Notamacropus eugenii: one gene and its partner. The protein of the gene in region 2 purifies or fractionates together with the protein of the main gene of each other region. This does not show direct contact. Links are inferred from orthologs where the notes say so. Each region holds a gene or a part of one and is shown on either strand. Other genes may lie near its edges.

Region 1 (12,997 bases), about 180 Mb from region 2:
TAAATAACAATCTCAAGTTATTGCTCTAATAGATTTATATCTTTTCCCCAAACTACTTTATCCCTTTCTAACCCTGCTCAATCTAAAAGAATGAGCTACACATGTGATAAGTTCAAACACTAACTTGAATTTTTATGTTCATGTAATGAATTCAAATCAAAACAATCATTTAACTTTCAATGCCAAATATTATCAGAGTCTACCTACCTCTAAGAATATTAGACTGAAATTCTTTTCCCCAAACTGAAGATGTCTCTGATTTAGTCTCAGCAATTAATTCAGTCAATTGTTTTAATACTAATTGCTTTTACATCATTTTGTAACCTGTAAAGATCTCATTCCAAGTTGGGACCTTTGTCCATCACCCCAAAAGAGTTTTAGTCTCATTTGTCTAAAGGCCCTGAAAAACCTCACCTTGAAAACTCCTTGTTTTTTTTTTTCCCATGTGAACTGGCTCTCACCATGCCCAAGTCTATTCTACTTCCCACTCTTAATTCTATCAGTCCAAATCTCCAGTTTACTGGCCACTCCCATCAAGACCATTCCTGGAGCTCCCAGACCACCTGGGGCCACTCCTTTTTTTTTTTTTTTTGTAAGGGATTCCTTTCCCTGAATCCTTCTGTAAATAAAACACAATTACAGTTAACTTTAAATCCCAATCTTGTTCTATGGAACAATGATACAACATCTATTTATTCCCATTAGATTTAGAAAGAATGTTCCCAAGGATTTTATTTCCATCTCAGATCTTAAATTTGCCCTAAAAAGCCAATCACTGAAGATCATTTCTTATACATTTTCAAATTCTCACCAAAGCAAGTTCTATATACAATCTCCTCAGCTTCTGGGGCTGCACTTATTACTAGCCTGAGGACTGCTTCTTTTCCCACATATACACACAGTGTACCAGCTTTAGGTTTTAGCATTAGAATTACAAATGGCAAACATAATTTTTCATAAGTGATAACAAATTGTTTTAGCTATGAACCCGGACAATAAATTTCAGATGACATCAACTGCATTTTCATATCCTATTAGAGAAATTAAATTCTTCCCACTTTTGTAACTTACAAATACAAATTGGATAGGTAGGCCTTCCAAAAACCATACAAAAGATTTTACAAAGTATTTCTTAATACAACAAATATTTCCTCTCTTACGAACAGTTTACAATTTATCACAATCCCCTTGAAAGTAACTGACAGAAATCACAAGAAAAGACCTAAACCCAAAGCCTTTTCACATTTGTCCATAAACTTTCTTTTACCAGCATAACTTTAGAGTAAATGCTTGATTCATGGCAAAAACAATTTTAGCTAAAATTTCCTTTTCAACAGCAGAAATAAACTTTTAACATAATACATCCTCAGATGGAACAGGCTTGAAAATCACACCTATATATATATATATATATATATATACATGTACATTTTTAAAGCGTTCTGATTTTCTTAATAAGAATGCTACAACAAGGAAACTCTTACAAAAAAAATTCATAACAGCTCTTTTTAACCAATTCATTAATTAACTTAACAATGTAATTCCTAATACAATATTTAGATGGATTACCTAAAAATTTAAACTTAATTTAAGTTTACTTACAACTTAAAAGAAGCCATTAACCTATTCAGCTCTTTTCATAACCAAATATAAGTTTCAAATTATCAAATTTCTATCATATCCTTTTAAAACCCCAATCTATATGTAATAAATTACAAATTTAAAATCGTGTAACAATTACATTAGATTAACGTTGCATCTAACAAATACCTATCCTTTTGTTACTGGATCAAACATTTTTGGCAGAAATGCCACTGGGTGTCTCTGCCCTCCTCTTATTTGTGTCAGGATTCCCAAGGCCACCCCCTTCTGGCACTCTCACTCTGCAAAGAAAAAGAAAAACCTAAACTTATTATTATTTTTTTACTTTAAATACATTGTCTGGCATCAAATATATTGATCTAATTAAACCTAAATTCAAAACTCTCAGCTCTAAGTTGCTTACTTGAGATTTTTTTACTTTCTAATCTTCTGCTTACTTCCACTAAACTTTAATAAATTTTAACCTATCTTAAACATTAAATTAAGAATGACACATTTCACCTATTCACAATTCCAAATACAACCAGAATGAATTCAATTAACTTTCTATTATTTCCCATCACACTAAAATTTCTTCTTTTGGGTGAGGCAGGAAATGGTTAAATGCTTGCTAGCATGCCTCTTCGGTCTGAGGGAAAAAGATAAATTCCCTCCCTCCCTTTTGTACTTCTTTCAAGCCTTCTGATTACACAGGTGGTGCCAGACGTCTCTCTGAAAAGCCTGCTCCTCTCATCATCTCTACCTGCTTAAATTCTCTTGCCTTTCCCTCAAGCCCCTTTGAAACTACACATAACTTATTTCTTTCTGCTACTAACCTGACATTTCTCCTACATTCTTTTACTTGCTGTTACCAACCATATAAACTGAACAGTAAAATAATTTTTTTTTTCTCCCTTTCTCTCCCTCCTTGTCCCTCTGCCCCTCTGAAACTGCTCTGGAGGGGTTGAAGAAGAGGAGTAACAGGAATTTCAAGGATAGTTCAGCTCAGCCTTTCTGCTCCTGCTGGCTGGATGGCTAAATTTACAACCTTATCAGATAAAAAAAAAAAAACAAAACAGAGACACACAGACTTTCATTCACAAAGAAGTACCCACACAACATATACAGACAAAACATTTAATAGAATAGAATAGGTTTAAATTTTTGGCAAACCCAGTCCTCGGAGGAACCATATTTGGGCCAGATTGTGCCTCCTCCTCCGATGTCTTTTCACCCCATATGAAATAACAACACTTAATCATCTTCTTCTTGTCCTTTCCTCTATAATTTGGTAATTCGTGACAATTCTGTGTGTGAGATGGCTCAGGTCCCTACTTAAATTAATTACTCAGAGGGCTCTCAAAGTGATGACAGAAAGTTTATTTACTAGATTCTCGAGAATCGGGACGATCCTACACCAGTTCACCTGGAGTAGGAAAGACAAAGACAAAGAAAAGGCAGTGATTTATATAGACCCTAACACAAGTCCCTCCTCCCCCGCTGACCATTATCCTCATTAGTTGAGAATATGATCTTACATTCTAGACATGAAATCTAACCAATCCCTTTTGAAATGAAGACATCGAGGAATTATGTTTTATCCAATCATTGAGACCCTAATACACTACACAGTTTTATATCCTTATATGGAACTATTCTATTCTAAAAATATTGCAACCTTGAGCCTCTAGATCTTACCTCACCCCTGGGAGAAGAATTACAATCTGAGAAGTCTTCACTAAACCTATCCCACTCACTGTAATTGATTTCCCAAAGGACTATTTACCGGTATTTCCTGACTCCATTCCAAAGCTTGGTGGGGTTTGGACTGCCTCTTCCCCATTTTTTTGGACGAGGGTTGTCACCAACACCTCCGAGTCTATGACTCAACGAATTTTGCCAGCTCTCATCAGGGGTCGCCCACCCACCAGCAGTCATCTGGCAAATGTTTTTTGGGGGGGCCCTTCACTCTGGGGTCTTGCAGTCCACTAATTTGGTTGGGAGTCATCACCTTCTCCCCGAGTCTATCTAAGACTCAACGAATTGACCCCCGGCCCCCCCACCCCCCCGCACTTACTGCCGGGTCATACCATACAAGTTGCCTGACTGCAACCTTCAACAGCAATCAGTTGGCATTTTCACACACTTCACAGGTTCAGAGTCTTTGGAGTCCTTATCTCTATTCTTTCTGTTCTCACTGAGTTCCTCTGCTTCAGGTCGTTATTTTGCAGAGAGGGAGGCCTGGCGACCCCATTTCAAGGACCATGGGGGGGTGGAATCTCCTCCACAGGTGCACCAGTCCTTGAAACTGAGGTGCCAGCCGTCTCTCTGAAAAGCCGCAGATCCCAGACGAGCCCCCAAACTGTGTGGGATGGCTCAGATCCCTACTTAAATCAATTACTCGGAGGCCTCTCAAAGTGGTGACAGAAAGTTTATTTATTAGATTTTCGAGAATTGGGCAATTCCTCTACCAGGAAAAAGCCGAAGACAAAGAAAAGGCAGTGATTTATATAGACCCTAATGCAAGTCCCACCCCCACCCCCCCTCCACTGACCATTATCCTCATTAGCTGAGAATATGATCTTACATTCTAGACACGAAATCTAACCAATCCCTTTTGAAATGAAGACATTGAAGAATTAGGTTAACTTTATCCAATCATTGAGATCCTATTGTACTACACAGTTTTATATCCTTATATGGAATTATTCTGTTCTAAAAATATAGTAATCTTGAGCCTCTCAGTCTTACCTCACCCCTGGGAGAAGAATTACAATCTGAGAAGTCTTCACTAAACCTATTCCACTCATTTCCTTTTAGAAAGAAATATTTTAATAGTCTTTCTATCATTATTTTATTGTTGTCCTTGGTGGCTACATTTGTTAACCTTTCTTGTATTTCTGTTTCTGGGATGTTTAAAAAGAAAATAATTTGTTCACATCTGGTTTTCTTTCTAGTAGTGCTTCAAATATCTCTTTTTAAAATTGGATATCTATCTTTTTTCCATTAATGTTTAGACCCAGAATTGCAGGGTGTCACCTTTGGTTGCATTTTGAGATTCTTTGCTTTTTGGAACACATTATTGCATTCCCCACCTAGGTTTCTGATGGGTGCAGAATAGTTTTATATTATTTAAATTTCCTTCTCTTTATATTTGAAAGTCTCCTGATTGTTTACAAAATTTGTTGTTTTGTAAGTGAAACTGTTAAATTTGATTATTTTACGTATTGTAATTTTTTGCACAGGTTTTTTTTCTCTCTTGGAGGCAATTTGTGGATTATTTTGATTAATACTTTATTTTCTGTGTTCAGAGTTCTGGGCAGATTTCTTAGGGTTTTTTTTTCTTGCATTATGGTGTTCAGGTTGTCCTGTTCTAAGAGACTTTTAATACTTAAGTTGTCTCTCTGCATTCCATCTTTGAGATCAATATGTAGATTATGCTTTCATTTAACATCATTTTTTGCTTTGACTCTTCCAGATTGCCTTTTATTTCTGTGTATTTCCATTCTCCATTAGATATTCTCTCTTTTGTTTCTTGGGTTAGCCTTGCCACTATAAAGTTCTTTCTTGACAATTATTTTGCCTGTGCAGACCATAAATTCTGCTTTCACAATTCTTTTTTCTCTTTTATGTCATTCTGGAACATTCTGCTGTGGTTCCATACTGTCTTAGGATTTTTTGCCTTATTAGGTTTTGATTTTTTTTCCCTTTGTCTTTCAATATTTATTCATAGATGTCTGGACTCTATGTTAGCTGATATTGAGGCCATATTCACTGCTGTTATTAATATGTTTCCTGATGGCTTATCTGTATACATTCAAGGTATTTAATTCAGTTTTCTTCCACTAGAGATCGCTGATAATTTCAGTCTTTTTTCCTTCCATTACTCACTTTCTGACTCCCTACCCTTTGACAACTTGACCTCTAAATTGTCTCCGCCTTCCCTTGTGCAGGGCAATTCAATTCACCAAAAATTTCTTCCCCAAGTGACTTCTAGGATGGGGTATAGTGAGGTAGACCTCACCTCAGCTGTAGGCTGAGCTTTTTACTTTGGGCTTAATGGAGTGCCACTTAGCCACACATACCATTTCCTTCTGGTCCTCAGTTCTTAGGCTGAACTGTTGTAGCACTGCTGAGTTGCTATACCAGAATGAGTGCAAGCTTCTGCCTTATGGTATTTCCTGTGCCTAAAAAGAATGGGATAGAGTTGAGTTCTGCTGCAAGGCCAAGGGTTGGCTTGTGCAGTCCTGCCAGGGGTGGGGTTGGGTGTGTGTGTGTGTGTGTGTGTGTTGTGTGTGTGTGTGTGTGTGTTTAGGGTTTTAGAGTTTAAGCCTTCTCTGCTGTTAGCTCATCAAACTGTTACCTCTTTAGGGTTGGTGGTGTCCTAGACCTTGGAGACAACTGAAACTGATTTATCACTTGCTCATTAGTCCTACTTTGGAAAGATTCAAGTTCTGAGAACTGGAGAAAAAGTCTAATTGTCTAGCTTGTTCAAGTTATATAACCTAATCTGCAGATCTCCAATTTCAGTTTGCTGTTTTGATTTAGATAAAGGAGTTTATTTACTATTTGTGATAATATTTCATGTAACAAGTATTCATTGGGAAGAATCAAGCTGGTTAAGCAGCTTTGGTAACTTCAGGGTTAAACACTCTTAAAAGTGAAGCAACTTTCCTTCTTAACTCAGACTAGCACCCTTAGTCTGAGATATTTGAGGAGAACAAATAGCTGTAATTCTAGTTCAATACTCCTCCCAGAGACTGGAGGAAAGAACAGAGGCCTGTCCATTTACTCTCAGCTAGTGTGCTGGCTAAACAGGCACTGCCATTGACTCTCTTATACTTTGCAGTAGCGGGTCAGGTTTCTGATAATACCTGCCCTTGTTAACTATGACCATGTCTCACGTGGACATAGTTATCTTACATAAAATACTAAACTTTGAATCTTAGGAAGTTTCTTTGTTGTCACCATAATTATTTGAATGAGATCAGCTTAACAACCCATACTTGAAAAATAAATAGGATAGAAAAAAAATTAATATTGCTCATCTTTGGGCTTGTTGCCAGATAGCTTATAAATTTCTATATTTTGGTTGATCACTTCAAATGGACAATGAACCAGAAGTCATTATATTTTGGAGGATCTGATTTTAAATCCTTTAAATTTGACTTTAAACTAGTTGCTGAAACAATATCTCATCTCATCAAAACTAACATTCTCTTGGTGATGATACAGGGCTGCAAATCACAGTCTAAAAAGAAACAAAAGCCTGAGTGATTTAAATGGCAATGACCGGTCACATGGTGAATGCAAAGAGACTGCAATGTATGACCAGTTATGACTCGTGATAGAGTGGCATAAAACACATCATCAAGACATATGTGGCTGAAAAAGGAGGGAGGTTGTGGAAATAACTCAAGAGTGGTAGAAAGTCAGATTGGAAGTGAGAGAACCTGGGTTTAAATCCTGACTCCAGTACGTATGCATGACCCCGGGCAAATCCTGGTGCCTTGGTTTACTTATTTGTAAAATAAGAGGCTTGGATTGGATGGCTTCTAATCTTCCTTTCATCCTAAATCTATGCTCTGAGGATCTTCTGTATCAAGAGAGATGACAGATACACAGCTGAAAAGCCGGACTGGTACCTCTGAGCTTTTAAAGAACCAGAGACAGGCCCTGCAAGACTGGGTCCACTCTAGAGACAGGTGGTATGGAAGAACGTGAACACCAGAGATGGGAAAAGATTTTCTCCTAAATTGGTGGGGGGATTTATTCACATACTGCTAGGCAGATGTCTTACTGATAGCCCTGACTTAACCAACCCATTCTCGACTCTGGTTTTTCCTCAAATTTCAGGGTTTTTGGCAACATTTCAGAGGGTTGGATTTCTTATTTATTTGGCATTCACTAGCCCCTTGTTAAAACCCCTTCTCTACGGAGGGCAGCTAGGCGGTAGAGTGCCAAGAATGCCAGGCTGGTCTTCCCGAGCTCAGTCAGACCCTCGCCAGCTGTGTGACCCTGGGCCAGTCACTTCACCGTGTTTGCCTCAGTTTCCCCGTCTGTCCAATGAGCTGGGGAAAGAAATGACAAGCCGTGCCGGTGCCTGCCAGGAAACCCCCAACAGGGTCGCTGCTGAGCAACACTCTGGCCTCGGGTTTTTGCTCAGATCTGGGGTACCAGGCACTTGGTATTTTCCCTTTTTTATATTCCCAGTGCTTAGCACAGTGCCCATACACAGTAGGAGCTCATTAAATGCTTACTCACTATACGAATGAAGCCAAGGGGGAAAATGCCACATCGACTTTTCCAAAATTCTCCATATTTCCCATCTGGCCTCTTTCCAACTGGTTACACGGCCTCCCTCCGGACGAGGGTCGCGTTGGGATTCAAAGCCGAGTGAGGACCCTCTTCATTAGGAAACACCCCCAAGCCGGCCCTGGAGCCTTGGCGCATGCGCGCAGCCACACTCGGGCCCTCCGGAAGCCCCGCCCCTCTCCTCTAAAGTTCTCTATGGAATGACTTGTCTGGGAGAGAAGGCCCGCCCCACACCCTCATACGAGCCAATCAGAGGGAAGCGGCGCAGCGCGCCAAGCTAGAAAGGGACCGGCGTGGCTGGGCTGGTTCGTGCTCCGCCTTTTGCCTCTCGGTCTTCCGGGGAGTTCATCTCAAATTCCTTTTTCCCCTCAACCCTCCCCCCATCCCCAACCCCGGCGTGAGGGAGGCGCTCGGAGAGATGCCCCGTGGCGGTAGCAGCAGCCGCCTCCGCCGCAGCGACCGGAAGGTACGGTATGGGGGCTGGAGCAGGAGCGAGGGTGGCGCTCCAGCGGCGGGCGACGAACCTGCTGGGCCCGCTTCCAGCTAAGCGCTCCCTCCCTCCCCCTCGGTCATCCTCGCCCACTGAGCCAGAGTTGGCTACCAGTCAGGAGGCGGCACCCTCCGCGTGGCCTGTTCCGGACTCGCGGAGACTACCAGTCCCAGGCTGCCCCGCGGCGGGCGCTGCTCCTCCCAGTCCTCCCATTGGCTCCGCCGGTTGGGGGGGCGGGGAGAACAGTTCCTGCTGGGACTTGTAGCGTTCTGTCTGAGTCCTTAGGGCTGGGCCAGTGCGGGCCGAGGACCCGAGGCGGGAGCATGTGCCCTATTTTCCAGTTTGGAAAGATGTTTGTCTTGCTTCCCGACCAGTCCTGCAGATTCTCAGTCGTTTGTGAGTCCTTTCATTCGACCGTTATTCGTCCTTCACAGTAGCTGTGGCAAAGCTTTCCTACACTCCTAGATCTAGAACTTCCAGTTCAGGTCCTTCCAGGGACTTAGGACGTCAGTACGGACCGAACCCCCTTGTTTTACAGAAGCCCTTAGACCTGCGGGCCTCAAAGTGTGATCCTGGGGGGAGGGCTCCCCCAGACCTTTTCTGAAGGTTTGTGAGGTCAAAGCTCTTTTAAAAATGATTCCAAGACGTTGTAATTTCGAGTAAAATACCAATTGATCTGACCTCCGTAAACAGAAGCTCTTTAGCGTCTTCAATAATTTTTAAGTGTAAAGAGTCCCAGACCTTAGTGTGGGCTCTCCATGTACCCCCACACACGCTTGGATTGTTTTCATCTGGAGCTCCCGGGCGTCCCCAAAGAGGAATCCAAATTCTGCGTGCTTTTCTCCACATCAGAGGTTTTTCCCCTGGGATCCACACAGTTTCTCCCCCACTCCCATGGATAAATTCCAGGGGTTCATAGAATTTGGACTGGAAAAAAAAGGTACACCTTCATTTTGACTAGCTTCTGACATTTAGCATTTCCTTCAGTTTTTAAGAAACATTATTCTATGAAAGGGTCCATAGGCCCCATCAGATTGTCAGAGGGAAAAGGGAAAAGAACTCTTCTCTAAATAGGTTATTACCCAAGAATGGTCCATTAAAGTGGTGTTTTTAGCATCACCCGTTTTGTCGCCAGTGTGTAGGTTGCAGCCTAATCCTTTCAGTCATCTCATTCGTTCTGCATAGTGACTTTTCTAAAGCTTTTCTGTTCTCATAGTTTTTATAGGTTTAGAGCTAGAAGGGACTTCAGAGGTCACATAGCCCAAACCCCCCATCTTACAGAGGAAGAGGAACAGGAAATTGAAAGCCATAGAGCAACAATTTCTTGAAATGTGATCTAGGCATGAGACCTTTTCAGGAGATCTTGAAGATCATGTGAGGTCAAATTATAATATCCACTCCTTGGAGACGAAGGACCTTTACAGTTTAGCTGTGCCACTTATAACCAGGGTGACTTGGATAAAGCATTTTATCTCCTTGGGTCTCAGTTACTCTGTAACAGTCAACAAGCATTTGTTGTTGTTCAGTTGTGTCTGATTCTTCCTGACTCCATATGGGGTTTTATTGGTAAGGATACTGAAGTGGTTTGCCATTTCCTTCTCTATGGAGCTCATTTTATAGATGAGGAAACTGAGGCCAACAGGGTTAAATGACTTGCCTAGAGTAGCACAGGTATTACAGGTTGGAGCATTTTTTAAGTGCCCACTATGTGTCAAGTCCTGTAGCTTTCCTGCTACAAATAGAAAAGCAAAAATAGTCCCTGCTCTCAAGAAGCTAACATTCCAAGGAGGGAGACAGTATGCAAATAACTATTTACATACAACATATAGAGGGTAGGTAGTAATCTTAGAATTAGAGATTAGAGGAGGCCCAGAAAGGTCTGCAGAAAGTGGAAGTTGATCTGATGCTTGAAGGAAACCTTAAATGTGAAGTTGAGTAAATAGAGCTTTCCAGGCAGGGGGACAGCTAGTGAAAAGGCATGGAGTTCAGAGGAACAGGAAGTAAGCCAGTGTTGCTGGATGTTGGATTACATGGAGAGGAGTAAAGTGTAAGAAAATTGGAAAGGGTGGGAAGGGTCCTGTAAAATGAATAGGATGGACTATATTATATCAGGTCCCTTCCAACTTTTTGTTTATATTCCTATGATTTCCAGTGGTCTGTAGGACAGCTCTACTAGATTTTCCACTAAACTTAAACTAATTAAACTTGAATTCATCATATCGCTTCTGTTCTTACTTCCTTCCAAGCTCCTTTTGCTAATTCCTCTATTTTTGTTGAGGTTATATCTGCCTTTTTCCCAGTCACTCAGGTTTGATATCTTACCTTTTTCCTGACTGCACCCTTTTCCCCCTATCCAAACAATCACAAATTGTGTACATTTTCTCCTTTCCCCCATTACTGCCCCTCAAGTTTCTACTCATGACATACCTGGATAATAGCTTCTAAACTATTTTTCCTGTCTCCACTCTGTTCCATACTTTGCCATCCCATTGACATCCTCTAACTGTTTTGATCTTTTCAAGCCCATGTGGAATCCATTTTCCTAGGACTCAGACTTTAACAGGGCATTCAAAGCCCCACCACAGTTTGATCTTAACCTACCTTTCTAATATGTCTCCAATTATTCCCCCAACCAAAGTACTCTATATACCTTCTTTGCATTTCTTGTCTTTTCTGACGTTATTCTTTCCATCTAGAATATTCTCCTTTTTGCTCTCTGTTTTGAGTTCCTAACCTATCCTTTTAGGCCCATATCAGATTTCATTTGTTTCATGTCTTTATCACTTCAAACACCTGAATTTCTATAGCACTTTGTTTATATCATTTTCATCTCATTTGTCACGTTATAGTTGTATTTGAGTTCTTTATATACTCCCCTAACTATCAGGACAAATTAATACATCTTTTTATTTCTCCTGCCTCTTAGCACAGTACCCTATACATAATTGGAGCTTAGTAAATATTTTTTGGATGAAAGAAAAGGAAACTTTTTGGAAATTATAAGGCATCATGGAAAAAACGTTTTAGTAAGTATCAGGAGACTTCAATTTTAGTTTGAGTTGCTCTGTGACCTGACATTCCTGGGCATCTGTGACTCAGTGATAAAGAGGAGAAAGGTGATAGGGGCCTAAAATAAGGTGGTGAAATAGGGAGTACAGAGAATAGACTTAATAGGGAAAATTATGAATGTAAACAAGCACATTATGAGCGTGTACCTTTGCTCAACTAACACTTGGGGGAATGATGGTTATGGAAAAAAACTTTAAAAAATGTCTCTGTTGTACAAATGCAAGAGATTATTTGGATGAGAAGGAAACTATACATATTTTGTTCAGAGATTGAATCTGAGCTTAGTTTTGGAATTCATTGATAGCAATGTATATTAAGTTGTCATTATCTTAATTGTTTTTATTGTAAACTGTATCAACAAAAGCAAATAAGTTCAACAAAGAATAAATTAATGTTTAAATGATATTCCATACTATTTGTGTTTTTTTCTGAAAAGAAAACAGCTTTATAAATTTTAACAAGATAATAATTATATTTTATTTTTTCTATGTCCCCTCTAAATTTTTCTCTCTGTATGATTCTTAGATTTCCTTGCTGTTGTTTTATATATATCTGTAATCAATGTATGTAGTTTTATTTTATTGTCTAAAGTTTGTATTACTCATTATCATAGAATCCAAGCTAGAAGGAACCTTAAAGGTCACTAATTTCAGTATCCTCATTTTACAAATAAAAGGAAACAGATCTAGAGAGTTTCTGTGCCTTGTCTCATAGGTAGCACTATCGCTTGGATGTAATTCATCTCTCTGCAAATTCACCCAGGGGTGTTGTGACTCTCCAGTGAAGTAATGGAGGGAAAGCACTTTAAAAACCTTAGAGGGATATGATAAATGCAAATTGTTGCTGTTATTATCATTAACCTTCATTCACCAGAGCTCCAGTGTGCTCATAACTTCATTTCTTGAACTTTCTGCTGCTCTCCTGTCAAGCTCAAACGTTTCTAGAGCGATTGTGGGATGTACTGGCTAGTATTTACCAGTTGGGCTGTCTAGCTATCTACACTTTTAAGTTTAATCTGCATTATTAACACTGGACAATCAGTGAAACAAATCAAACCCTGATTTTTAGCTCATTTTTTATTTCTGAGGTATAAATGCTCACAATGAAATGGAAACTTGGCCAAGCTAGCTCCCCCACTTTTCTTACCCTACCATACTCATTTTTCTTTGTGTTCTTCATAATTATTTTTATGGCACAATTATATTACACTTATATATATACTTATATATTATATATATATATATATATATATATAATAAGTGTATATATATATATATATAAGTGTATATATATATATACACTTATATATTACACTTATATCAACATTTATTTGGCTGTTTTCTACTTGTTAGACATAGAGCTTGCTTATTGCTATTACTAACAAAAGTGCGATGAATATTTTTATACCAGTAGGTCTTCTTTTCACCTTTTAGTAACATCCTTAGAGCATATCTGTATCTACAAACATATCTCCATACATATACACACATGTATGTGTGTAGTTATATGTATATACATACATATGTGTATACACATATACAT
Region 2 (12,399 bases):
TGGGAGGCGAGTGATGTTATCATCTCCATGGGCAAGGATGACCCCGTGGCTTGGTCATCTGGCTAGTGAGTCCAAGTCAGGATGGCACCTCAGGTCTTCTTTACTCCAAGGTCTTGCACCAGTTAGCTGCCTCAGGGAAGCTCCCGCTGAGCCCACCCTTAGAAAATAACTGGAGTAAGCCAGAGAGAAAAAAATCCCAAATGTCCAAACTGCAAGGGAGTTCGGACTACAGAGCTTCCAATGACCCCTGATCTCCTAACGAGCCAAGCTCAAACTGCTTGACTTGGCATTCAAAGCCCTGCAATAATTAACCTGTCCTCCCCTCCCTTTCAGCCTAGTCACCTCACACATCCCACAAATTCAGACTCATCCTAGGCCTTCAACGAGAAACTTCTTTCATCTTTCCTCAAACTAATCCGAACCCTACCCATTCTTCATGGCAGAGATCACAAAACCCTGCCCAATTCCTTGCCTCCAGCCACAAGGATATGTCCTATATGCTCACAAGTTGAGCTGGTCTCATCCTGGATGCCATCCTTTACCATACACACATATTAGTCATCATATGTATATTTCATTCAATCAATTCAATTCCACAACATTAGTTAAGCACCTACTATGTGCAAATCATGGGAGTAGGCACTGAGGATACAAAGAAAAAAATGGCAGGGAGTGCCTGAAGAGGGCTTACATTCTACTTGGGACACTGAGACCTGTCCACAGATGGTGTCTAATTCAACTTAGAATGGGAAGAGGAAAAAAGACAGAAAGTTGGAGAGAAGTTAACATTTTGTAACTTCCACTTTGGAGGTGAAGAGTGGGGGTGGGCTACTCTAGGACAATGGAGAAAGGCCCCAGGGAAGATGAGGGGGAGATACCTTTCAGGAAAGGTGGCTAGACCACAAAAATGTCCAGATCTTGGGCAACAGCCTGTCCAGTCAGAGGAATGGGCAGTCAGTGGTCTACTTTGTGATGGGGGAGGGGTGTAAGCAGATAAGACCAATATCACACATGGCTAGAAGGGTCATTTGAAGCCTGGCCAAGGCTTCTCTCCTTCAGAGAGAGCAGTGAATTGACAAAGAAGATGACTTTGGCCACGGTGCACAATCCAGGGGCAATATTCCAGGTGAGAAGGGATATGGGGGCAGAGGTTGCACTGGGGTGGTGACTGTGAGTGGAGGGAAGGGGATGGATTCGAGAGTCACACTGACAGGATTTAGTAACTGACTGGCTGCAGGAGAAGGAAGGGCCAAAGGTGACTCCAAGGTTTTGGGAAAAGGTGACTGGAAAGGATGGTGGTGCTGGCAGCAACTGAAGCAGGGAAATTGGGAGGTGGGGCAGGTTTATGGAGGAGATAATGAAGTCCGTTTAGGACAGGCTGAGCCTGAAACATTCGTGGATGTTCAGATAGACGTGTCCTGAAGGCAGTTGGGGATGTGGGAGTGAATCCAGAGATTAGGATATCTCGATTTGAGGGCCTTCTACACAGAAACAATCATTAAACTTATGGGCACAGATGTCTGTCAAGGGAGAAGGAAAGGGGAGCCAGAGGGGAGCCAGTACTGGGGGAGGGAAGGGGGGGAGGAGGGGAGGAGATAAATGAGCAGGAAAAAAGACGGAGCAGCAGAGTCACGAGAGTGACCATGAGAACACACTGGTGGGAGGGGTGGAAAATAATGTCCATTGTTATAGAAAGGTCAGGGAGGGCGAGGGCTGAGAACAGACCATGCCATTGACCTGTTAAGATTTGACCTGTCACCTTCAAGAGAGAAGGTTTCTCAAGTAGAATAGTTAGAAGCCAAGGTTATGAGGGGTTGAGGAGTAAATGGGGAGTAAGGAAATGAAGTGAATGTACATGATTCTTTCTAGGAGTTCAGCAGTGAAGGAGCAGAGAAATAATCTCTCAAGGGGATGGGAGGGTCAAGAAGGACGTTTAAGGCTAAGGGTGACCTGAGCATGACTGTAGGTATGATAGGGAGAGGCTGACAGTGAAAGAAAGAGAAGGCTCCTCTTTCAACAAAGATGGTGGGGGATGTAATCAAAGGTACAAGGAGAGGGACTGGTCAGTCATAACAAGGAAAGGGTCACATCTTTCTGTGACTGAAACACAAAGAACAGATGTTGGGGAGACAGAAAAAGGTTTCCAGGTGTGGAGGAACAATAGGTGACATTAATCAAAGAGGGAGGCCAGATCATGTGGATAGGGCTAGGGACTTGCTGAAAGAAGTCTGGACCAGCCTCCATGGGGAATGTGGTCAGTCTAAAAGGACTGACTGTCATGCAGCAGGGAGGATCCAGCTGAAGTTAGAGAATACAGATCTCTGGAGGACCCAGCAAAGATAGTGTCAGCATTCATTGGCTCGGCAATCCCAATCCGACCTGAGAAGGCAGATGGTGAGAATGGTCTTGAGGGAGGATGGGTCAGTTGAGAAAGTCAGCATGAAAGTGACTCAAGGTTAGAGGGCATTGTTTGGTAGAACAGGTTAAGTAGAGGGTCAAGGTTTCTTCTAAGTAACCCAGGAATATGTGCTATTTAACTTTTTAATCAATGATTTGGATAAAGGCAATTCAGTAAATTCTTACTGAATTTACACAGGATACAAGGCCAGGAGCGATAGTTAAGGCATTGAATGACAAAGTTGGGATCCAAAAAGATTCAACTAGCTAGACTGTTGAGCTAAATCTTAATATGATGAAATTTGATAGATATGAACATGGAGTCTTGGGTTAAAAAAAAATCAACTTTGCAAGTATATCATTATGTGTGGAAGTGGACAGTGTTGGGCCTGAAGTCAGGAAGACCTGAGTTCAAATTCAAATTGAACTCAAATTGAGTTCAAATACAAGAACAGACACACCCATTTTGTTTGGTGTTTGTTACATTCAGAATATTTTTTTCTTAAGAAAAAAAGGGTTCATCACATTTTTGGGAGAGCAGTGTCATTCAAGTGTTTGGGCTGAAAACTAGGCCAGGAGGTGTTGGAAATCGGGGAAAGAAATGAAGGCAAGGGCTGTAGACTAGCAGGGTTAAACTCAACACTGCATGTCAACTTGGAAAACCACAAATTCACATTATGTTGTATTTTAAGCTTTATTTTGTTAAACCTTTGCCAGCTACATTTTAATCAATGTTCAGCCCCCACTGGGGAGGTTTGTAGGCCATGAATTTGACACCTCTGGTGCAGAATGCCCTTTCTAGGAGTCTGTTTGATCAAGTCAAAGGGAATATAGATAGAGGATAATAATTTGAGCAGATGGCAGGGTCATGAGAAGGTTTTTTAAGGATAGAGGAGATACTGGCCTATCTATAGACTGCAGGGAAGAAGTCAGTGGATAAGGAAAGATCAAAGATCAACCAATCAGGTACTGTGCTAGAGGATAGGGGTACAGAGACTAAAACTAGAGTCCCTATCTTTAATATCTTTACATGCTACTAGGAGGAAAAAAACAGATATAGAGAAATCAATACAAAACATAAGATAATTACAAGGTAACTTTTTAATTTGACGGAAGGCTCAGGAAGACGCAGCTCTTGAGCTGAGCTCTCAAGTGTGACCACAGACCAGAACCCTCCCCTAAAATCCCTAGGTCGCAAGGCCTGGGTGACATCCTTCGGGGGAAAGTCTAACCCCAAAGTGGTATCTTATCTTTCTGGCTTGTTTTGCCCCTATCCCAGAGTTTTACTCCAGGCAAATCTCCAAAATAAAGCTTAGGTTGAAGACAAATGAAATGGCTGAAAAGCGAGAAGGGAAGAGCGAGATCAGATCAGAGTAGACAAGATGGACGTAGGGTGGGGTGAAGAGGTACAGAGCAGGGTAGGAAGGAAGAATAGGTTGGGAGGGACCTTAGAGGTTATCAAGTCCTTAAAATCAAAGGATTGCAGATTTTAGAGCAAATGGATCATCTCATCTAACCTCATTTTTTACATGGGGAAATTGAGGTCCAGAGTTATGAAGTGATTTGTTTGTTAAAGGTAACAGAGAAGTACCAGTGTCAGGTACAGAAGTACCTATGTCCCTTAACTCCAAATTCAGCAATCTTTCCAATACACCAAAATCATGGAAACGGAAAAGTTTTAGGTGAGGGTGAAATCTAAGTTGTCAGCACCCCTATAGTTTGACAGAGTACAGTCAGAGTTGATGGGAGTTGAAAAGATTAATGAACTGGGAGACCAGGACATTATAAAGTTTGTTGGCATGAACCATGAGCCAAGTCCTCAACTCCTGGAGGAAGGAAAAAACGTGATCTGGAGCTCAGCACATAACAGCAACAAACACCTGGATAGCGTCCGGATGATGGAAATTTAAAATGGAAAGGTCGCTGAGAACTGGTGCAGAGAGAGAGTCTCAAAGTGCATGACTCCTGGCCCCGAGTATCAAGAGGCATGAGACATTGGCCAAGACTGGAGATGGTCACAAGACATATGCTGCCCTCAGGATAAAGCAAGGCTTGAGTTACTACCTGAAGGTAGAAAGAATAGGAGGGAAAGAGGAGGAGTTTGTTAACAAAATGAGTGGACATTCTACAGAGCACAGTGGAAGGGAAAAGCAGAGGAGGGAAAGAAATTGGGCTGAGTTGTATAGGGATGAGCATTCAGGGGGACACCAGGGGAAAGAGATTTCCCCCAAGGCAGGTAGAAACTATGAAACATAGGGATTAGTGGAGCAGGAGGTAGCAATCTGCCAGCCTCAGGGCAGGGGGAGAATTAAGTAGGGAGACTATGACCAGTGTCTGCTCCTTTTCTGACTGCGTTTGAGGCTTCAAGTCCCTCCCCACTTTAAATCTGTCCCCCACAAAGTTGCCAAACGCCCATATTATTATTCCCCAACTCATTAAAATCCAGTGGCTCCTTATTGCCTCTAGAATAAAAACACAAACTGCTCTGTTCGGCCCTTCACAACCTAGTCCCAACCTATTTTTCCAGCCCCACTATACACTGTTCCCATCCAACCAGGCTCCTCCTGCTGCTGCTCACACAATGTGTCCCTGTGTCTTTGCAATGGCTGCACCTCCATGTATGGAGTGCACTTGCTCCGCATCTCTGCCTCGGAGATTCCCGGACCTTCATCGAGACTCATCTCCAGCCTACATACTCCTACAAGTCTCAGCGCCCACCACCTGCCTGGTATTTCTTTTGTGTTTGTCCTGCATGTGTTACGTAGGGATCTGCCTCTCTTGGAAGGCAAGGGCTGGGTTTTTCTGTTTTTGTATCCACAACAACTAGCACCGCGCCTGACACACCCTGGGCACTTAAGAGATGGTGGGTGACTCCATCCCAGAGCCCCGCCCCTTCCAGAGCTCCGCTCCACAGATGGCTCCGCCTCCTCACCACAGAGCTCCTCCCCCTCCAGAGTCCCGCCCCGCAGATGGCCCAGCCCCCTGGAGCTCCGCCTATCAGTTACCTGGAGCCTCAGCGGGTCCCTAGCAGCTCCGGCCTTCCATCCTGGAGGGAGGCTCTGGAGGGCCTTGCGAGCCACAAACAGCACTGGGCCCCGACCCTCCCCCGCTGCCACCAGGGCAGCCGCGAACAGCAACGCCGTCTTGCCGGAGCCCGGCTCCCCGAGCAGCAGAAGGCCGGTACCCTTCCCAGCGGCGCAACCTTCTCCGCCGACCCCTGCGCCCGGACTCAGCAGCGCCCTCAGAGCCTCCATGCCCGCTCTCAGCCCTCCCTCTGCGCTGCACACGCGGCCAATCAGAGCGCTGCTCTGCGCTAATCCCTCCCCCTTGAAAACGGTCCATTGGCTAGGCTCAGTTCACTTCGGTAGCTCGCCGGAGGGGCCGGGCGAACGCTCCCAATGGGCGGTCCCTCCACGTGGTCTTCCCAGGCTCGACTGCAATGGGGGGCAAGGTCTTCCAGGGCACCCCCTACTGCGCCCTCCTAGATCACCGAGCCTCACGTCTTCTTTTTCTTTTTCCTTCCTTTGTCTCTTCTCCAGTGCCTTTCCTCAGTTAAATATTCCCATTTTTCCTGCATATAACTTGCTTTGTATGTATCTGCATGTTGTCTGAGGGCAGGGACTCTTTTGCCCCTGTATGTATCCCTAGCACAGTGCCTAGCACGTAGTAGATGGTTAGTAAATGTTGATTGATTGATCTTGCATTCTGCAGTCCATTTAATCTCCATCTTTTCTCTCTACCACATCTCCCAGTTTGTTTCTCAGTTAAGAATTTACTAAGTACCTGCTCCTCGAAAGCGCTGTGTTAGGGCCCTGGAGATAGGAGGACAAACACGGAAAAGATTCCTATGCACAAGGAGCTTTATTCAACAAGTATCTCATATCACTAAAGTTCCTGTCAGCAGAAGCTTAGACCAAAGGGTAAAAAAGACAGACGGCTGCAAGTACCTGAAGCCTTTGCTTCCCTGAGATCCCAGGACAGAGTGGCGAGCCAGGAGGGAGGCATCTCTTGTTTATACAAACACATGCCTCTCCCACCTTACTCCCTTTCTATGGTTTTGGGCCAGTGAAGTTCAGGAATCCCTGACTGTACACAAAGAAACGGGAAAGACAAGAAGGAGAAGTTTGGGGAGATTGCTGGAAGCAGAAGTCACCATGTAGGAAACACATTTTTCTTTTCACTTTTAAAAAATAAGCGATGTAGCCACAGTATGTTGAATGTATATCCAGAACCTTGTTGAGGCTGCAGGTTCCCCACCCCTGGCTTATGCCATGTGAACATGGGGGTGGAGGGTGGGGGGCAGGGCAGAGAGAAGATTCTAGTTGTAAAACAGGCACACTAGAATGAGAGATTTCTTGCTTTTTAATCATTTTGAGCAGTATTCCGTGTCATCCCCTGGTTAAATTTCTAGTCTTTAGCCAGTGCTAGCATGTAATTTGGTTGGTATGTGAAGAGCAGTCTAATACCTGCTATGGGTCAATGGAGATGCTTCAGCCTTTGGGGATGCTATACTATGTAAGACCCAGAGAAGAACTGAGGGTCAGTGGCTCAAGGAGAGGGACGCTTGGTGGGCTAATCAGGTATTCACTCCAAAAAACAGTCCAAGAATCTCATGTATATGTCTCCTTTTCATAGTGAAACTCCTAGGAAAAGCAATGTTACTTTTCCCCACTTTCCTCTCAACCACTTCCAACAGCATCATTCAGTGGAAATTGCTCTCTCCAAGGTAACCAATGTTTTCTTAATTGCCAACGTATTAACTTTTTTCTCAGTCCTCATTCCTCTTGACTTCTCTGCTATGTTTGATGCTGTTAGCAGTTTTGTCCTCCAGGATTCTCTCTCTCCTGGATTTTTGTGATCCCATTCTCCTTTTTTAGGGTGAAGTGGATAGAACACTGAGCCTGGAGTTAGGAAGACTCATTTTAATGAGTTCAAATCTGACACTAGTTGTGTAACCTTGGGCAAGTTACTTAACCCTCTTTGCCTCAATTTCCTCATCTATTAAATGACCTGAAAGAAGGAAATGGCAAACCAGTCTAGTATCTTTGCCAAGAAAACCCCAGATGGGGTCGTGAAGAGTCAGACATGACTGAAAAACAACAACTTTTTCTTTTAACTATGTAATTGTTTGTTTTCAATCTCTGTTGTTGATCTATGTCACATCCCCTAATTGTGCATTTACCCTCAAGACCATATCTTGGGCCCTCTTCTTTTTTTCTCCCCTCTTTCTCCTTTGGCAAGTTCATCAACTTCCATGGGTTTAACGATCATCTCTATGTAGATGACTCTCAGGTCTATATATCAAGCCTTCATTTCTCGAGTTCCAGGCTTACATTCATCAGATGAATGTTGGACATCTGCAACTAAATGTTTCATAGAAATCTCAAACTTAACATGTCTAAAATGGAGCTCATTATCTTCCCTTTCAAACTCACCCCTCTTCCTAACTTCCCTATTTCTCCCAAGGGTATGACCATCCTTCCAGTCAGCTGGAAGATCAGGAACCCTGGGAGAGGCACCACCCTTCCTGATTATTAGGTCTGCTTTCAGACCAGCCATCATTTGGGGAGGCAACTCCTGTGGAGAAGGAGCCAGGCATCCTTATTAATTGTCAACCAATTGTCACTCACTGGGCAAGCAAGCCAGTCTAGCTGAAGTAGCAGTGCACCCTTGGGGAGAGATAAGAGGCAGCATATGCCAGGTGGGGCAAACTACCTCTACCGTAACCACCATATCCCCTCCAATCCTGATGGAAACAGCCCAGAACCCTGAATCCCAGAGCTTTAGGAATGGCAATTCTTCCAGGCAAGGGCTTTTAGTCATTATCTTGGGATACGTGGGTACTACCCACAGAAGACACAGAAAAGAAAGTTCTTGTCACCCAAGTCTTTGGTACTATCAGATGGTTCAATATCAGAATCTGATATGATTTTATCACTGGAAATGACATTTAAAAAGAGTGATTACCACCTGCTTTGCTGCTGTATCCTAAGGACATAGACCTTTCTATCCAACTGTAATGTTAATGGAATGTGAAGATCTTCCCCATCCATTAATAGACCTATGTAATCAGGGAAATCTTACAGCTTTGAGCTCCAGCCAGCTGTGATAAACTTGAGTCACATAGAGCCCACTGGGGGAGGAACTTGCCTAAGGAAGAGCTTGCTTAGGGGAGGCTTGTTTTCAGGAAGGCTTTCACACCTTTTGGTACTAAGCTAATTAGGCATTGAGTCACAAGGGTTGTGATGCCTTCTGGTTCTGAGCCTATTAGCCAAAAGTGTCTGTGTATATATGTATATATTCTGAGTTGAGATTTTGCTTTGGGAGTTTGCTTATGAGAAGGATCTTTTGATTCCCTGGACAGGACTCTGATTTGTTAAGAGTCTCCTCCCCATCCCCCATCCCCACTACTCAAATGTTTGTGCTCTCCTGCTCTGATGGCATATGTAGGTACTTGTATTACTTTGTTCAGACAGTTGGAGCCCTGTCTGTTAAATCTCTGTGTTCATTTCTCTGCTTGTATTTTCTACTTATCTGTAATTAAAGTAAGATCGTTGACCCCCTCTGAAGTTATCTTTCTTTCAGAAAAGCAGATCAAAGAACCTGTGCTAGCAGGCCATCCTGGGTATGCTTGGGTGCTTGCTAGTACACCAACTTACAGCTAAAACCTTCCGTGTGTACATCTCTCCCATTTAGAAGGTGCGGTCTTTGAGAGCAAACGCTGCGACATTTGTATTCCTCACATTTAGTTCAGTGCTCTGCACATAATCAGCACTTCATTCCTTCATTCATTCATGCATTCATTCCTTCTAATCACCCAGGTGACTAAAGTTTCAGAATCATTTCCAGTTCTTTACTCTCCCTTACATCTCCATTTCTAGTCAGTTTCCACAAAATCTCAGCCACCCCTCGCCCCCAATTCAGGTCTTCATCACCTTTGGCCTAGATTATTGAAGTATCCTCCTAACTGATCTCTCTATTATCTCTCCTTTCCAGCCCAAACCTCTAAACAACTTCTCAATGAATATTCCTAGTGACATGAACATGTCACTCTCCTATTCAAGAAGATTCAGACGCTTCTTACTACCTCTAAGAAAATACACACTCTTCTGGTTGGCATTTAAAACTCTTCATAATCTTTATCTCCAGGCTAATTTCACCTTACTACACCTCACACACTCTACATTCCAGCCAAACTGACTTACGTGCTTTTTGTCATGCAAAACATTCCATCTCTAGCAACTGTGGCTTTGTACAAGCTGTCCCCTGGTGCCTGGAATGCGCTCCCCTCACACCCCAACCTCTGGAATCTCTGGTTTCTTTCAAATTTCTGCTCAAGTGCCTCCTGCTACTAGAAGTCTGTCTTGATTCCTCCCACTCCTCTCACACACTTGTTATGGCCTTCCCCACTAAAATTATTCAGTGTTTAGTGCATATGTGAGGCAGCTTTCTACTTGGGACTGTAGCTGTTTTCCTTCCTATTTTTACCCCCTAGATCTTCAGGCATCCAAGAGAGATGGAAATATAGAACTGAATCGCCTTGAGGTAGGCATTACCATAAATGGCAGTTGTCAGAGGTCATGTTGATCTAGTAGGACTTTTCACTTTTTAAAGTATTTATTCATCTACAAAAATATTTATAGCAGCTATGTTTGTGGTGGCCAAGAACTGGAAATTAAGGGGATGCCCATCACTTAGGGAATGATTGAACAAGTTATGATATATGAACGTAATGGAATATATTGTGCTGTAAGAAATAATGAATAGGCAGACTTCAGAAAAACTAAAAAAGACTTATATGAACTGATGCTTAGTGAAATGAGCAGGACCAGGAGAACATTGTACGCAGTAACAGCCACAGTGTGCAGTGATTGACTTTGATAGACTTAGCTCTTCTCAAGCAATGCAAGGACCTAAAGTAACTCCAAAAGACTCATGATGAAAAATGCTATCCATTTCCAGAGAAAGAACTGTGAAGTCTGAATACAGATTGAAGCATACTATTTCCTCTCTTTTTTTGTTTTGTTTTGTTTTTTCTTTTTCATAATTCCTTCCATTCATTCTCATTCTTCTAATCAACATGACTAATCTGAAAATATGTTTAATAAGAATATATATAGAGAGTCTATATCAGAATGTATGCTGTGTTGGGAAGGGGCGAGGAGAGGGAGGCGGAGAAAATTTTAAATTTATTTAAGTTCATGTTAAAAACTAAAAATAAATTAATTAAAAATAGATCGAAGCTTTCCATTGCTATACAAAAAAATAAAAACAATATTTATTTTGTACAAATATTTTCCTTGGGGGCCCCCACATTGAACAATTTTGAGAAAGAAAATCCTCATAACAGATATGGATAGACCAGCAAAATAGCTTCCCACATTGGCCATGCCTGGCAAATATGTTTCCTGTCTGGCAGGAGGTAGTTGGTGTGTTTCATCTTCGTCTTCTGGACTCATGGTTTATAACTGCATAGATCAGAGTGTTCAAGTCATTCAAAGACATTTTTCTCTAGTGCTACTGGCATTGTATAACTGCTCTTCTAGTTGTGTTCACATCAGTTCCTAAAAGGCTTCCCAGTTTCCACTGAGACTGTCCATCTCATCATTTCTTATGGCACAGCAATATCCCATAATTTGTTTGACCATTCCCCAGTTGATGTGCATCCCTTTAGTTTCTGGGTCTAGCAGGACTTTTTTTCAGGGTATTCCTCACCAGAGAGAGATGTGTCTACTCCTGGTTCCTGTCATTGAGGGGGCCTTTGCTGGTTTTTCCAACATTTTGATGCTCACAGAAATGTAACCTGATCACTGTTGTTTCTAAATAGTCATTTACAACCAGGATAGGGTACATTATTTCTAGAATAGGAAAGAATAAACACAAGTGATCGAAGAGATGGAGGTATTGTGTGTTCATGGCTATGCAGTTGGTCTGGTGGGGAGAGAAATCTGCCATAGCAGGTGACTGCTACTGCCCCTCCTCCAGCCACCCAGAGGCCCATAGCATTTCTTCCTCCTCACTCAAAAGCCATCTGGGAAGGAAATGAGAGTTCCTTTGCTCAAAACTTGCATATGCACACTTAGTTAAGCTTCATGACCCAGTTAGAAGTCTGTCCATGATCACACGGAAACCAACAGGAAACAGAACAGAACTAATGTGTGCTCTGAAATGGGAAAGAAAAGGGTCCCTCCATTACTTGGTTCAGAGAGTAGGCTTCCCAAGTCTCCATGTGGGTTAATATTAGGCAGAGTTTATTGTGTATTCTTTTTTTTAAGTATTTTTTTCCTAGAGGGAGGAAGGCAAAGCAGTGGGGGCTAAGTGACTTGCCCAAGGTTACATAGGTAACAAGTGTCACGTGTCTGGGGCCACATTTGAACCCAGGTCCTCCTGACTCCAGGGTTGGTGACCTATTCGCTACGCCACCTAACTGCCCTTATATTATATATTCTTTAAAGACTGGGAGCTTATTGCCTAGTCCCCCATTACATATGAAATGTTACATGCCTACAGTCATTCATTTCTGCAAAGAAGGGAAATGTTTTCCATTCTTCTTTGGTTCAAGCTTGGATATTATAATTATGCAATATTTGGGGTTTTTTTCTTTCCAATTTTACTGTTGCAGTTTTTGTGTCTTGTTTTCTGGGTTCTTACTTCATTCTGTCAGTTTACATAAATCTTCTCATACTTTTCTGAATTCTTCACATGCCTTGTTTCTTACAGCTCCATTATGTTCATGTACTACATTTTGTTTAGCTATTTCCCAATGGACATATATAACTTTTGCTTCCAGTTCTTTGCTCTGTGTTTTAGACTATTTTGGTGTCTGTAGAACCTTTTTTTTGTCACTGATCTCTTTGTGGTATATGCCTAGAAGTGCAGTTCCACAGTCAATAGTCCCTCTCTTTTTGTGGCATAATTCTAAATTGCTTTTCAGAGTAATTGAACCAATCCACAGTTCCACCAACAGCATATGGCAAGGCATTTTTTTTTTTTAAAGAAAGA

Evidence for each region.
Region 1: the proteins of SWSAP1 (region 2) and SPIDR purify together in Homo sapiens (co-immunoprecipitation; 3 studies listed by BioGRID and IntAct, with this or other methods). This does not show direct contact. The link is inferred for Notamacropus eugenii from reciprocal best matches to the Homo sapiens genes SWSAP1 and SPIDR.

What each region holds. Positions count from the first base shown.
Region 1 is NC_092875.1:263,090,040-263,103,036, forward strand, and holds the start of SPIDR (DNA repair-scaffolding protein), read left to right. Parts: upstream 1-8,166; 5' UTR 8,167-8,314; coding exon 8,315-8,362; intron 8,363-8,626; exon of another isoform or gene 8,627-8,782; intron 8,783-12,997. UniProt on the Homo sapiens protein: Plays a role in DNA double-strand break (DBS) repair via homologous recombination (HR).
Region 2 is NC_092875.1:78,507,447-78,519,845, forward strand, and holds the start of SWSAP1 (ATPase SWSAP1), read right to left. Parts: upstream 5,687-12,399; 5' UTR 5,652-5,686; coding exon 5,403-5,651; intron 1-5,402. UniProt on the Homo sapiens protein: ATPase which is preferentially stimulated by single-stranded DNA and is involved in homologous recombination repair (HRR). Has a DNA-binding activity which is independent of its ATPase activity.